Linked DNA regions of Danio rerio. The protein of the gene in region 4 purifies or fractionates together with the protein of the main gene of each other region. This does not show direct contact. Links are inferred from orthologs where the notes say so. Each region holds a gene or a part of one and is shown on either strand. Other genes may lie near its edges.

The links.
Region 1: the proteins of vti1a (region 4) and napab purify together in Homo sapiens (affinity purification with mass spectrometry; 3 studies listed by BioGRID and IntAct, with this or other methods). This does not show direct contact. The link is inferred for Danio rerio from reciprocal best matches to the Homo sapiens genes VTI1A and NAPA.
Region 2: the proteins of vti1a (region 4) and stx8 purify together in Homo sapiens (affinity purification with mass spectrometry; 3 studies listed by BioGRID and IntAct, with this or other methods). This does not show direct contact. The link is inferred for Danio rerio from reciprocal best matches to the Homo sapiens genes VTI1A and STX8.
Region 3: the proteins of vti1a (region 4) and stx6 purify together in Homo sapiens (affinity purification with mass spectrometry; 3 studies listed by BioGRID and IntAct, counting the BioPlex papers as one, with this or other methods). This does not show direct contact. The link is inferred for Danio rerio from reciprocal best matches to the Homo sapiens genes VTI1A and STX6.

Annotation. Positions count from the first base shown.
Region 1 is NC_133193.1:47,646,229-47,649,796, reverse strand, and holds part of napab (N-ethylmaleimide-sensitive factor attachment protein, alpha b), read right to left. Parts: intron 3,099-3,568; coding exon 2,994-3,098; intron 2,901-2,993; coding exon 2,832-2,900; intron 1-2,831. UniProt on the Homo sapiens protein: Required for vesicular transport between the endoplasmic reticulum and the Golgi apparatus. Together with GNA12 promotes CDH5 localization to plasma membrane.
Region 2 is NC_133181.1:25,761,289-25,765,550, reverse strand, and holds the start of stx8 (syntaxin-8), read right to left. Parts: upstream 2,806-4,262; 5' UTR 2,754-2,805; coding exon 2,737-2,753; intron 2,352-2,736; coding exon 2,252-2,351; intron 1,279-2,251; coding exon 1,184-1,278; intron 1-1,183. UniProt on the Homo sapiens protein: Vesicle trafficking protein that functions in the early secretory pathway, possibly by mediating retrograde transport from cis-Golgi membranes to the ER.
Region 3 is NC_133197.1:16,196,135-16,200,479, forward strand, and holds the start of stx6 (syntaxin-6), read right to left. Parts: upstream 2,812-4,345; 5' UTR 2,665-2,811; coding exon 2,630-2,664; intron 161-2,629; coding exon 1-160. UniProt on the Homo sapiens protein: SNARE promoting movement of transport vesicles to target membranes. Targets endosomes to the trans-Golgi network, and may therefore function in retrograde trafficking.
Region 4 is NC_133187.1:33,314,064-33,318,241, forward strand, and holds the start of vti1a (vesicle transport through interaction with t-SNAREs homolog 1A), read right to left. Parts: upstream 2,840-4,178; 5' UTR 2,739-2,839; coding exon 2,645-2,738; intron 1-2,644. UniProt on the Homo sapiens protein: V-SNARE that mediates vesicle transport pathways through interactions with t-SNAREs on the target membrane. These interactions are proposed to mediate aspects of the specificity of vesicle trafficking and to promote fusion of the lipid bilayers.

The DNA.
Region 1 (3,568 bases), on a different chromosome or scaffold from region 4:
ATTGCTAATTATCAGTTTTAATCTCGTGGTCTGATTCATTGCTGAATAATCAATCTGACCCATCTCTTCCACCAACGCCGATTCTACATGCTGACAGCCCGACAGCACTCAATGGCCGACTGTCAACTTGCCGTGTCCCAGCCTTAAAACAAACACTGTTTAAGACCCTTGCTCTTTATTCTCCATCTTTTTGGACAACCAATCACAATCTATAAAATTAAATAAAAGTGTTTGTTTTTTCTTGGCTCAAAGTTGTTTTTAGCAAGAAATTTTTTTTATTTTTTAGTCCCTTTGGATAAAGGCATCTGCTAAATAAATAAATGTAGTAGCATGGTCAGAGGGTTTAACAAATGAACTCGAAGCTGCGATCCAGAATATTGGGAAATTTGATTCCCTAAACAAGATCTTTTAGTTTTTTTTTTTTTTTTTACTGCATCCTATACTTTTTTATGCTGAGGTTTACAAATTTACACAGGGTGATGCATGCATTCTCTTAGGAATGTAATTGTCTGACACTTTGTCTGGAGCTTTAACTAAAGTGAAAGGACAGAACGGCAAACAAGTCAAGAGAAGAAACATTTTTCGGATACTCCCATATTTATGTTTACTAATTTTGCATTAAAGGCAATCTAAATAACATATTAATTGACATAAAAGGGAAATTACTCAACTAATACAATATAAGCCTGAAAAAAAAAAATAATTTTAGAAAAAAAACTCACTTAGAAGATTTTGCATCCGAACTCTTCATATATTTTTTATTATTAATATATAATTGTATTGTTAAATGTATTTAATTATAAATTTCTTTTTTTTTTTTTTTTTTTTGATGAGGCAAATAAAAATCTTTTCCATCTGGGCCATTAAAAAAATCCTTAACTTTTAGCCCTTGAGTCTTAAATTTCATTCTTAATGGTCTTAAAAATGTCTTAAAAAGTCTTAAATTTAACTTGGTGAAACCGGCAGAACCCCGAGTAACACCTGTCCTTTTGTATCTGTTTATGATTCAAGAGTTCACACTTAGCTGATGATTGATTATTAAGCATGTTTGGCATGCTGTCCCAAGAGAGAGCCTTAAGCTCATAAGATCCTCGAGCCCAGGGCTCCCTCCCATTGCAAGGCGAGAGGGGAGTTTGAGCTCAGGTAGATCTTGAAAACTGTGATAACTAATCAACAGATGAAATTGCTCTCAAGAAAAAACTACTTACTAGGAGCATGTCTATGACATGTCTATCTAGGAGCACAGAGAGAACATGTAAACTCCACACAGAAATGTTGACTGGCTAAGTAAGGACCATTGACGTTCTTGCTGTGAGGCGACAGTGCCAACTATTGGGCCACTGTGCTGCCGATCTAAGAAAGGAGGAGTAGGGGTGGAAGGGGGGATTCTGTAAAATGAAGATGGCTGTGTTATGTTACTTAGGGTTTTTATAGAGACTAAAGAAATGTCTGATTGGTGAATCATGGATTGGCTAATGCATGACCAGCTGTGTTCAATAATAAGCATGTGATCCTCTCGAAGTTAGTTTATAAATAAACCCCACTTATTAATAAAATTTGAATGTTTAAGGGCCTAGATTATATAATGACATTAGTGTTCTCCCTCTTCAAAAGTAACACTGGTATGATATCCGTGCCATTGCTTTTTCTGTATGCCAAACGATTTGTTTCCTCAGGACCTTCAGGCACATCAAAGAGGCCTGGATGTTTGATGCTACTTGAACAGCTGTCGCTAGATGTCAATTTTACTGTGTTAGAGAATAAATTATTTTAAGATTCTTCATGCTTAGTTAGCCATCAGTGGAAAGATGTTTATTGTACCATTCTGATAAGATGCCTGCTAGAGAGCAAGACATCCTTGAAGTAGAGAAGTATTATTTGTGTATGCATGTGTGTGTGTGTGTGTGCGTGCGCGAGTTGTGAGAAACATCCTCCTGTTGTGTCTGATCTTTGTAGGCTTGACGCCAATGTAATCATTGAAGATATTGTTCTGAACTGTACGCACACATTTGGACATTTTATAAGTTTATCTGTGCTTCAACCAATCAGGTTAAAACTCCTATATGTATGACGCAGTTAGTGATGGGTAGAATTGTTGTTGATCTGAGTGTTGAAGCTGGCTCCTGCAGATAAAACTGCAAACTATCTCCAGTAAACTTTCTTTGATCAAATATTTGACTTTGGGGTCTTCTTCAACTGACAGACCAGTTGGTTCCCCAACACCCCCCAAAATACAAAGACAATCAAAGAAAGTGAAGATCAGACCACTTGTAAAAATGAAGCAGTACTGTCATCTAATCACTCATGTTTTGACTATTTTTTTAATCTCATCAGGATGATAAAGATCCCTTTACAGACACAAAAACTTCTATTTGCATCATGGATATGCAGATAACCCACTGATCTCACTCTTTCTGATAAAACAGTGGATTTATTAATCCCGGGATGCATACGAGTAAGCGTATGGGTTTTTCTATATACAGTTGAAGTCGGGTAATTAGCCAAGTCATAGTATAATGATGATTATACAATGTATAATTTATGATAAATGTTTAAAATGGAACCATTTAAAAAAAAAATTATATATATATATATATTACTGCTGTTTTATGGTAGGCATGGGTTCGCAGTTTGAAAAAGTCAAGGTTTTATATAATTTTCTTTTTAAGGTGTTTAGGCTGAGTAAATAGTGAGTAACTTTCAATTTATCCCTTTAAGGCCTTACATTGTGGAATGGTGAATAAGAAACTACTAAAAAATCCTAAATACACACTTAGGGCAAATTAAAGGTTTGTCATTTACAAGCACTTGAACTTGAGATTTAGTTTTACCTTCATGAGTTTGCATTCACGAGAATCTGAGAAGGCTGGAAACATTTCTTCGTATTTCTGAAGGGCAAGCTGCAAGGGGTGACATCAAAGACAAAAATAATGAGGGATTGAAAACAACACAACCGCTGTATGTCAGCTTGCCCTAAACAGTGTGATTCATACCTTAGCGTTCAGCATGTCAACACAGAAGTGACAGAGAGCAGCTTTAAAGAAATAGTCCTTTGCGCTGTATTTCAGTAAAGTGCTGTCCATAGCATGTGTTGCAACCTAGAAACCCAAACAAAGAAGCAGCTTGTCAACATTTTTCCTCAAAAATGCCTTTTCCCCTCCCCCGTAATAGTAATAATATTTGGGTATTTACACGCTTCATTGGCTATTACATGTCATAATATGTGACATATTAAACAATATTTAACAGCATACAAGGTCCTCACTCTTTCATGAAGTTTGTGAAATATTGTTCAAATGTGCATTATTTGTCATAGTTCTAGTACAAGATTTCAATTTAAGATTTTAAATTAATAAATTCTTTGTTTATTTATTCAGTTTTGATTGCTTAAATTAATAGTTTATGTTGTTATTTTATCACTTTTAAGTGTCTCCGTTTGTTTTTAAGTACTTTCCAGGGCTTAAATTCATGTCTGAAATTCAAGCACTTTCAAGAAGCGTAGAAGCCCCGAGTATAATACAAATGCACCAAATAATAAACTGGACTGTAATAATGCACCAAAAACTTC
Region 2 (4,262 bases), on a different chromosome or scaffold from region 4:
AGGATTCAAACTAATTTAGAAAATCTTAGTTCTCAATGATACTGCAAAACAAACAATCATAAAGAAGTCATTATAATCCTAATTGCTGGATTCAACTTTCTTGGTTTTGTGAAGCAACTACACAGAACTACAGGACAACCCCAAAACATAGTCAATTCTGAGTGTGATTCATACAAGTGAATGGGCTTGACAAACCACCTGTAGAAAACACAGTCTTTCATCTCTCTGACACCTAACCCTAACCGACACTTCAATCAGTTTGCACATTTGCACCAGGCACGTTCTTACAATCACTTCATATCTTTAAAAAAAACTATGCATTCATGAAGTGTGCCTCACACAGGTAAGTGGGCTTAACAAACCACCTGTAGAAAACACGCTCTTTCATCTCTCTGACACTTTAAACACCACATGCATCAGTTTGCACATTTGCACCAGGCACATTCTTACTATTACTTCATATCTTTAAAAAAAACTATGCATTCATAAAGTTTGCCTCACATAGGTAAGTGGGCCTAACAAACCACATGTAGAAAACACACTCTTTCATCTCTCTGACACTTTAAACAACACTTGCATCAGTTTGCACATTTGCACCTGGCACATTCTTTCAATCACTCCATATCTTAAAAAAAAACACTATACATTCATGAAGTGTGCCTCACACAGGTGAGTGGGCTTGACAAACCACCAGTAGAAAACACACTCCTTCATCTCTCTGACACTTTAAACAACACTTGCATCAGTTTACACATTTGCTCAAGGCACATTTTTACAATCACTTCATATCTTTAAAAAAAAACTATGCATTCATGAAGTTTGCCTCACACAGGTGAGTGGGCTTAACAAACCACATGTAGAAAACATGCTCTTTCATCTCTCTGACACTTTAAACAACACTTGCATCAGTTTTTGCACATTTGCACAAAGCAGGTTCTTATAATCACTCCAAAAAACACTATACATGTAGTACCTGTAAAAACACCTTTCACTCTCTCTCAAAAAAAGAAAAATAAACTCCCTCCTCCTAATGCTGGCACTTAATTCTCTGGCCACAAACAGTCCCTTTGTATTACTGGCACTCCTTGACTGTATTGCTTCTTCAATCGCTGAATGATTCCTCAATTGTAAGGCGCTTTGGCCTCTGTGAAATGAAAGTGCAGTCAAGTAAATGAAAGGATACATATGGCGTTGAACAGCTGCTCGATTCAGAGTCTCTCTGAGTTGTGCTATATTCTGTTTTAGCTTCTGTAATGATGCTCTCAGGGTCATGTTGATCTACATGGATGGAAAAGCAACAAGAGAGATTATTATATTGTGTAAAAGATTGGTTAACTATCTCATGTAAACCAGGGGTCTCAAACTGCCTGGCTGTGGGCCATTTGTGGCCACCCTCCTCCTTTTTCTTTCAGCCCGAAATTGACATGAAAAATATAATGAGATTCGGCCCAACAAAAAAATATATTTTTTTAGAGTCACTATCTTTGTGCAGTTGCATATAGCCTCTTATGTTTTTGACCCCCACCTACAGGACATTTAAAGTACTGTACAATATATGCAGGTTACTTTCTGTTTCTCTCAGTGTGCAGTTGAGAGTAATGCACATGCAGATTATTTCTGGGGCTAATGTAAAAGTTGAAACATATGTCTGTACGTGCTCTATTTTTACAAACACCTCTTCAAGGCTTACACGTTATGTTAGTAGTGTAAATATGATTATTTTGCTAATATTCAATTCAAAAATGTATCCTTAATATATTTTTCTAATATGCATATTAAGAATTGTATAAAAAATGTGCATTAGTAAAATTTTACTGCTGGCTAAATTGCACATGTTAAAGTAAACGTGAATACATACATAAAAACGTTTCCTCTCTTGTAGTTTAAAAAAAAAAGAAGGACATTGAGAAGAACAATTGCCAGTACAATCAACAAAGTTATTCAAACTCTTTTCTGATGTTTTACGCTATCGGTTAAACATCTGGTAAAGCAACAATTGATTGGGACATAATTATGATTATTATGCTTATATAATGTGGTATTTTCATAACAATTTAAACAACCCCTTCAACATATACAACGAGAAACTAAAAGGAGTTTTGATAAACTGGGGAAGAATGTATGAGTGTAAGAATGTATTACATCAGATTTCCACTTTTTTCTTGTGCTTCATATGAATCGTCAGTCACTAATATGGCCCCCCGCCATTGAGTTTGAGACCCCTGATGTAAACAATCAAATCCTGCCTTGCCTTGGCTGGGTTTCCTCCAGTCCTCTGCTGTCTGTTTCTTTCATGGATGTTTTCTGCAATTTCTTGAGCCAGCCTACAAGCTGCATCATAATTTTCTAACCTGTAAACAAAACACAGATTACACTTATCAAAATCTTCCAATGGGGATCATGAGATAAGGGTTTCCAGTTATTTAAATCACAAGGTTGTCATCAACACAATCATGTGACAATCAAATGTCAGCTAACCGGCTTGGCAACCTTTACAAGACGCGTAAAAACAGCAATATGTGAACGAAAACATAATTGATCAATTAAAGTATAGGGTAAAATGAGCCCTGGGGAGTAGAAAAAAAAATAGATAAATTAGTCTAGCGTTAAAGTTAAACTGATCTGACTGTCAGTTACAGATGCACTAAATTAATAGTGTTGAAGTCTGAAGTCTAACGTACTGTCCTGACATGCAGATCTAACATGACAGTAAATAATAATAGTATAGGCACTCACCAAAGGTCTTTTGACATGTTGCGGTACTTTTGTTTCGAGTTTGCAAAAAGCGTTTTAGCAGAAACTCACAGCAAAATCACATCAACATAAACTGCGCAGTGCCACTTCCTGTTAAGGAACGACGTCATACGGTGGCCTTTCATAGACACACTTCATACGGTAACCGATGTCTCGTTGTGTTTGTCCTGCGATGTCTCTTTTTATCAATGACAAAATTGCTGATTATGTAAATAAAGTGTTATTGAACTTCATATGGAAGAATAAAACCCATAAAATTAGAAAATCAGTCTCATCTAATAGGCGCTCAGAGGGTGGATTAGAGGTTTTAAATTTCAAAGATTTAATTAGGCATAGCTCATTTAGAATTAATTGGCTACAAAGATGTCTCCGTAGTAATAATTCAATTTGCTACCATATCCCCAATGTTATATTTGATAAATTAGGTGGCTTAGACTTTCTTTTAAAATGTAATTTAATCCCTTCTAAATTGCCAATTTCCCTCTGTAATTTTCACAAACAAGCTTTACTTGCTTGGAAATTGTGTTACGTGCACAATTTTTCCCCACACAAAGAAATTCTTTGGAATAACTCTAATGTCTTAACTCGTGGGAAATCTCTTTTTATTGATAAGTGGTTTGAAAGAGGAATTGTTTTTGTTTTGGACTTATTTTAAAATGATGGCAATATTTTGGAATATGAATAATTTATGACATTGTATAACTTCTCTTTGCCAGCTTAATCCTTCAACTGTGTTCTAAAGAGTTTGTCACAAAGTTATGTGCATTTATTTAAGACTTTTGTTTACTTTAATGAGAGGGAAACAATTATGCCTGAACTTTTTTTGGATGGAGTGTCTTTTTTTGATAAAAAATGTGACAACAGACATGTCAGACGATTGTTACATTCCTCTGTATATACCACCCCAAGATGTAAATTTTATGGTTATTACCTGACAAATTCAGCATATCCAACAAAATAGGAGAGATACATTTTAAGATCTTGCATAATGTTTATCCTACAAATTCCCAAATTGCTAATTATTTTGATATATCTAATTTGTGTACTTTCTGCAATATACATGAAGAGACTTTATTTCACTTATTCTATAGTTGCATTCACATTAAACATCTTTGGAATTACATTATTTTTTATTTATCATCCATTTTTAAACATGATTTAAATTTGTCTATAAAAGATATATTTCTGTATTTCTTGGATGATGATCATGCTCTCGATCTTATTGTAATTTTGTTTTTTGTGTTACTCTGTAAATTTTTTATACACAAAAACAAGTTTCTAAAAACAATACCTATTTTAATACTTTCCTTGTTGAAATTTCGTACAATATTGAATCTCTTAAGCTTATTAATTATAATAATAAGAAGTTTCTTAAAGCTTATGACAATTTTTTTTCTTAATGATTGAGGCTGTGTATTTTTTTTTCTCTCTGTCTTCTTTCTTATTTTTTATTATTGTATTTTTTCTTCAATGCAGTGATGTTATTATTCTTGTATTCAATAAAAAAA
Region 3 (4,345 bases), on a different chromosome or scaffold from region 4:
ATCCAAGTCCTCCAAGTCCCATTCAATGGACCTCAAACTGTTTCGTAATTCGTTGGTGGTCCAGTCCACTTCCTCCTTGCTGGCTCCACCCGCGTCCTGTAGCAGCTCTATCCATCTCTGATGAAGACCTTGAGCTGTGTTTACAGCCTTCTGCACCTCTCTAAGACAAATACATTCAATTAAGCCTCAAGGTTAATTGACCTACTACAATGTAGACAAGAATACTACAGAGTGTGCAGATAATTATGAAAATTATAAACATATGATCATAATTGTTTTTTTCCAAAGAGAATTTGACCAGTTCTCAAATACATCGTTCTTAGCCAAATACTAAAATATTTTACTTGTAATTTATTATTAATAAGTGTTATTAGTATTATTATTTAGAATAATTATTATTAAATTGAAAATTAATAGACTGTCTGATGTGTATAATCATTAAGCAGGAAAATAGCCCATAAAAAAGATGCAACTCTCACTAAAAAGTCAAAAATAATGGATGCGATCCTATAAAAAATGTGATAAATTAAAGGTGCTGTGAAGTGCTTTAAAATTAGCATTTTGAATTTGATTTCTTCGTTGTAATCTGAAATAAAATTCATGAAGACAGGGTGGGACATAGAGTAGCCCCTCTCCTTTATAAAAAACATCCAAGAGTGTTTCGTTTTTAATCACAGCTCTGCCAGTGAGAGTGGTTGATCTCAAAAAAGATGCATCAATGGATAAAGCAAATGAAAAGCATCTTGAGGGGGGTGGGTATGTCAGACACTAGAGAGTATTTGATTGGTCAGAATATTTGATGAGAAACTACAATAGATAACCCCCAATAATATAAATCCCCACTTTATAAAAACCAATAGCTGAAGTGTTATACAATACTGATTTCTTTTAAGGACAGCTTATGTATCTGTCTTCCTCCTGCCCTAGTTAGTATTTGTCGTTCAATAGTAATACCTTAATTTTACAGGTTTATTAATGCTGTGATCTTCTTTTGGTCGTTTAATATATATACAAAACGAAGGGCCCAAAAAGGAGGTGTAACATTGGGAAAATATATATATATATATATATATATATATATATATATATATATATATATATATATATATATATATATATATATATATACATACATACATACATACATACATATATATATATATATATATATATATATATATATATATATATATATATATATATATATATATATATATATTTTTTTTTTTTTTTTTCCTCCCCAATGTTACACCTCCTTTTGGTCCCTTCGTTTTGACATGTCAAAATAAACCTGCTTCATAAATATGCACATCTAAATATAATTATCTTACACCCCCAGTGCTTGTTAAAAAATTACACGTAACTTATTAATGATTATACACAATATCAATACTAGGGCTGCACAATATATCGTTTCAGCATCAATATCGCAATGTAGTCATTCGCAATAGTCACATCGCAGGTTGTGCAATGTTGAGTCTGTAGTATAATCTATCATTTTCATGTTTTTTTGGACAGTAGGATTTTAAAACCAGAGGCATAAAAAATTTTACCATTTGTAAGTTAACGTTAGACGTAAAAATGATAAAACACTGTTTATTTATCTTTTTTTATTGTTTGATCTATGCTTGTGGATAGTTTATTATAATTATTGCAGATGCACTTTTCTGCAGAATCATCTGAATCAGATAATTATATCGCAGAATAACTAAATATCGCAATGTTAGATTTTTCCAATATCATACAATCAACACTTAAGAAGTGTGAAATCGGTACAATTAAACAATAATTATGCACGCACTTTATTACAGCGCCTAGACTGCAGTTCTGCACAAGACGTTTGGCCACAGGAGAAACGGTCGTGCTCAACTGAGCCTGGTTTCGCTCAAGTTTTTTTAATTCTTCACTTTCGCCAATTGGTGAAGTTTTTTTCCCTTGCCACTGGCTTGCATGGTTTGGGAGCAGTGGAGCTGCGCATCGATGGATTTGCTTTTCAGTGTTTAAACTCTCAGCAGTAAAAATTAAACCACACTGAACTGAATGGACTGAACTAAACTGAACTTCAACACAAAAATAAGCTGACACTGTTTCAATTTACTATAATCTTCTATGTGAAGCTGCTTTGACACAATCTAGATTGTAAAAGCGCTATAGAAATAAAAGATGAACTGAATTGAAAGGTTTTACTATGATAATGCAATGCTTTTGGATGTCTGACATGGAAAAAACTATGCTATTACGTTACTATCCAAAAGCATACCATAATATGTATCCCCAAAAAGTGACAAACATGGTAACGTTACATATTTGTAAATCCTAACTTATAGCAAAACGCAGATGTCTGGCAACCCAAAACAATACCACTTTAAAGGGAAGACGACACAAATATCGATTAACGCTATGAAGCGTTTGAGAAAAAAATCGATAATTATGGTTGCCATGACAACACGATAACGATCTTACCGAAACAGCTGCTTTAAATGGTGCCGAGTATCAACGTAGGACAAGTCAAATAGCTAATGTACGTAAAGTTTAAAATAATTAACGTTACTCCAATCTGATTCCTGAAAGTGTCTAATTCGACATCTTATATTCGCCCCTAGTCTCCGATCTAAGCCCTGAAACTCACCCTTTCACCACGAAAAACGGATCTTCCATCGACATTTTGCTGCTCAGATGAGTCGATGAGTGGGGTGCGATAATCTCATGCTCCTGACCGCGGCTGGTTTAGCTTTACTTGGACAAAGGAGAGCGCTTTACGTGTTGTTTACATGCGGGACAGAGCCCGGATCCGCTCAGCCGCCATTGCCCGGCGGAATCACATCCGGGTCCTCGAGCGTCTAGACACACGCACGCGCCTGGGCAGATAAACAGCAGCACGGGTTGTTTTGGTTTGTTGAAGTAAAAGAACAAAGCGTTGCCACTAATATGCAAAATGCCTAAATATAAAATATACTTACGAGATATTAGTTTAATTTAGATAATGCTTTAAATATATGTTGGTAGTCAGCATTCTGTCTATTCATCATCCAGGCAATATTATGTAAAGTAGCTTACCATTATTATTATAATAAATCTACTATATGTAAATGTTTACGTAATTGAAAGCTAATTTATAGTTTATGCGTTAAACATATGCTGGTATAGTTGGTGGTTCATTCCACTGTGGTGACCTCTAATAAATAAGGGGACTAAGTCGAAGGAAAATGAATAAAGGAATTTATAACATACTAAAATATTGAACCTACGTCCTCAAAATTAAATTTAACTGAATCATTATACACCGACTTCAAAATGATTACCTTTTGATTTGCCACCAAAATTAACATAAAATAAGAATATTATTATTCACAGAAAATTCACAGTAAATAAAAAATAAAATCCATGTTTTCAGATCTTAGATATTTTGAACTATTGTAAAAGCACACATACATATAGTCCTCCTAACATTTATATATGTGTGTGTAGCCTTTTACGTATGTGTACAATAATTGTATAGTAACATAAAAATGTAACAGGCGACATGGTGGCTCAGTGGTTAGCTCTGTTGCCTCACAGCAAGAAGGTCACTGGTTCGAGTCCCTGCTGGGCCAGTTGACATTTCTGTGTGCAGTTTACATGTTCTCCATGCCGTGTGGGTTTCCTCCGGGTACTCCGGTTTCCCCCACAAGTCCAAAGGCATGCGCTAGGTGAATTTCATAAACTAAATTGTTTGTAGTGTATGTGTGTGAATGTAAGATTGTATGGATGTTTCCCAGTACTGGGTTGCAGCTGGAAATGCATCCGCTGTGTAAAACATATGCTGGAAAAGTTGGTGATTCAGTCGCTGTGGCGACCACAGATTAATAAAGGGACTAAGCCAAAAAGAAAATGAATGAATGTGTGTGAATGAGTGTGTATGGAGGGTTCCCAGTACTGGGTTGCAGCTCTAATGCCAACAGCTGTTCCAAAACATATGCTGGATAAGTTGGTGGTTCATTCCTCTGTGGTGACCACTGATTAATAAAGTGACTAAGCTGAAGAAAAATGAATGAAAATGTATGAATGAATGAGCTACAATCTGATACCATTGTGTGTATTATGGTGCCACCGGTATTTTTTATTTATTATTTATTTAAACATATACTTTATTTAAGTATATTAAACACTTATGTAATAAGTGTGTATTAATATTAATACAATTATACATTTTATTACAGATAATCTAAAATAATAGGGGTCAAAACTATGGGTTTCCCACTGCTTTCTCTTCATCCTTGTATCTGCAGCTCGTCTGTGTACTGAAACACAGTTCTTCATCCATTATTCATCACAGCGCGCCGCCTGCTCATTAGTTGACTATCTA
Region 4 (4,178 bases):
GACCAAAGTAAAAAATTACAAAAAAAAGAGGGACATAAAACTGTTAATCATAACTGGTTCTGTTCTTTTTCCAACTAGACTGGAAAAATAAAAAGCTGTGTTTTAATAAACAAATGTAAAAAATAACCAAAATAGTAGAATATATAGTAAAAGTACTCAGGAAAATATTAACGTTTAACATTGGCTATATTGTTTTGGATGCATTTATAAAAGACAAAAAAGATGAGTCAAAATATATACAAGGTTGATGATATTTTTAAATAATGAGCTCTGACTTATCTGCAATCATTTGTATCTCATAATAACATTGTTCTCATGGAAACAAGTTTGTCTGACTTGAGCAATAAAACCACAACACAACAACAGGTGTATTGACAGTAGGTTTACAGATGCAGATGACAACTTACAATAACTTGCAACCCTAAGTGTAAGAAATTTGTGATGAAGTTGTGTTTAGTGCAGACATATTGATATTGATATTGAAATTGCCTATAGTCTATGAACACATACATCCATTATATATTATGCAGTACACACAGCATCTGATGTCCAAATAAGTTAGAAAAACATCAGGAATCCATGACCTCTAGGGGCTCCATGAAGTTACTACAGGGACACCAATATTAATTGTTTGACTACCAGATTGGGTTTAGACTAGAGAAAATGGGGAAAAAAAAAACCAAAATATAAACAAAACCAAAACACATTGTAATATATTGATATTTCATCTATTTGGAATTTTCAGTCTTTGATATGCTCTCCAAGGCTCCATTTATTTGGAAAATGCAGTAAATTCACTAATATTGAAAAACAGTCTTATACATTAAAATAGCAGTTTTCTATGCTAAAATATTTTTGAATGTAACCTATTTCCGTGAAGGCCAAAGTGAAATTTCAGCATTGTTGATCCACTCTTTAGAGTCACATGATCCTTTAGAAGTTATTCTAGCATGTTGATTTGGTGATCAAATAATGCTTCTCCCTATTATTAATATCAAAAAGAGTTTCAGATGCTTTTTCATTTTTAAAAGCGTATATGCAGTATAAAAAACATTTATTCACAAATGAGGCCTTACAATAATCAATAGTAACCTTAAACAGAAAAGAAAATGTATTTAAAAATATATTGTCAAATAATTGCTGTTCATGAAATGTTTTCAAACAAAAACTCTAAGAAAAATTAAGCATAATTCTCACAAAAAAATTAAACATCAATAACTGTTGATGACAATAAACATATTATAATAAATATTATAGAATAATATTATAATAATAAATATTACAATTAATAACAATGAGAAATAATATGACTATAAAATGTGTGCATGGTGAGCAGCATCTTAAGAATATGCATTTGTAACAGTTTGAGATCTTGTTAGGCATTTTTGAATATACAAACATGAAAATGTAGGCTTAATAATAATAATAATAATAATTCTAACAAACAAGTTAATAAATAATAAATGATCAATTAAAATGCAAAATTAAAATAACATTTAATCAATATAAATCATCAGGGTTCCCATTGAAAGCCAAATTCCCAGATTTTTACTTACTAAACCTGAATTTCCATGATCTATAAATATAATAAATGGGAAAACAGGCGGCTGTTGTGCTTTGCATACTATTAGAATGGTTTTAGCTTGAATGTCTTTTTGCATGTCTTTAATAGTTCTTATGAGAACAACAATATATAACTTAAGTCAGATTTAAAAATAAACCTGATGTACATACAGATTGTGTGGCTGTGAGGTGAATTATCCATCTCCCATATTTGATAGCTTGATAGCAGTTTTACCAACTTTACATTAAATTTTTCTGCCATATTGTTTTTAACACCCAGTCCTTTTCAAGTATTTATTTTGAAGCCAAAGCTATTAAATGTATAACAGGTAACATTATAACAGGTACATTCCAGCTATTGTGTTTAACGTAAATGTCTACTAGATGATAAATTGGAGCTGGAAATAGCCTGACCCTAACAATAGGTATAACATAGAGATAAGGGCAAAGTTTTGGTGGCCCACACAGCATTTAAAAATAAAAAAACCTCTGCAATATGTCACTTCATCTCGCAGGCTCTGGCCTGAAAAAAGTTAAAGACTCCTCCTGACTAAGTGTACACAAATTTTATTTTTATCAAAACTTGCTTTATTATCTCCTCCTATAACTGGTGCATTATGGCATTTTATGTCAGTATAATTCATTATGCAGGAAACAATAAACCAATCAATCACAATGCTTAAAATCAAACAGTAAATTAAATTGTCAACACTGAAAAACCATGAAGGAATTAGTTTAGTCTCACTCGATAGTATTCTTTTCTACGTTGGTATATAAAAATAAATCTTTTTTTATTTATTTAAAAACCCTTAATTCCAATATAACATTAATAAATCTAAGAAAAACAAGATGACATCCAAGACCCATGTCACCTAAATCCTGTCTCCTCAGACTCATGTGATACTGGACATCTGACACCACGACCATCCCGAACTATAGCTTCTTTACCAAATGATATGGGCCATTTCTAAATAATACACCGACCACACACACAAGCTGCATAAATAAATGATTAAACGAGTTGTTTATGTCTCTCTAACACCAATGTTTTGGCTAAGCAGCTCATCTAACATCCACTTACCACCGGCTAATTTGGGTATTCGTCCGATTTTGTTGGTTATTTCAGCGGTGAGGGTCCCAAAGTCCTGTTCGTACGCTTCAAAATCTGAAGACATGTTGTATTTTTAGTTTTAAAAGATTAAAAGAGCGATAAACTGAGCTGCGTTACACACTGTTGCTTGTGTCTGCTTCTTATTGACGTCCGCGTCACTTCCGGGTGGTGTCACGGGAATTTGTTCACGATTTCTTCCTGTCAATGGTTCCGCTGTGGGGTGAGTCGTGCGATTAATTGTTTGGTCTTCCTCGTTGAATTGCGTGTAGTTATTTTTGAAAACGGATTTAAGCTTTGACAGTATTACGATTGGCTAAATAGCGCGTTCACTGGGTCATATTAAGCGGCGCTGTCATTTTTCTTGGACTCTGACCGCACGAGGAAACAGTAGTCGAGGTACAGTATGTGTCAACGATTAATTTTTCATTTCAGTATAGAGTACAATTAACGATACATGGGTCATAATGAAAGATAAATGACGTCTTACATGTGTTAGTAACCTTGTTTTTTTGCCTTGAAGCATGTGTCATTGGTTAAGGTCTGCTATCATATAGATTGCTAGTTATAGATAAGGTCATTTCTACAGTTAAGACTTCAATATTTTACCTCATAAAATTGAATTATACCGCCTTTTGGTTGGATTTAAGTTTGTTTAGTATTTGAGCTGGACTGATTTACTTCATGCAGACTGACAGCAGACTGTTATTTTTTATGGCGTTTAAACATCGTGCGCTTTTGCCTTTAACCTTTAACCTTGCGTGTTGCACCAAAAATAGTGGAAGTAGTAAAATATAAACTAAATTATGCAACACATGAGCATAGAAACAAAGTTTGGGTGTGCCTTGGAAACAAGGTGTGCTGCCACTGAAGCACAATATTTGACAGGTAACATTACCCATTGTATTCATCACTTTATAATTGTAGTTTTCGTTTACAATAGATTCAGTTTTGTCATAATGGCAGTCAATGCTAAACAAATTAGCTCTAGAAGGCATATAGATAGTGAAGTAAATCATAAATTGATGTGTCTGACATGTCTAGTTTTGGTGTCGGCATTAAAAATGAAATAAACAAAAAAAATTTAATTTATATACATATTAGAAAACACTAAATGCAAGTGTCTACTTTCGGGTTTTAGATAACGTTCATGAAATTAAATAATGTTCTGTTGTCATTCACCTCAATTTAATGTAATTTATGTTAAAATTTATTAAAATACGATCGCTTCACAGCAAGAAGGTCACTGGTTTGAGCCTCAGCTAGGTCAGTTGGCATTTCTGTGTGGAGTTTGCATGTTCTCCACGTGTTGGCCTGGGTTTCCTCTCTGGGTGCTCCAGTTTCCCCCACAAGTCCAAAGACATTTGGTACAGGTGAAATGAATAAGCTAAATTGGCCATAGTGTATGTCTGTGAATGAGAGTATTCCCAGTGATAGGTTGCGGCTGAAAGGGTATCTACTGCGTAAAACATATGCTGGATAAGTTTGTGGTTCATTACGCTGTGGT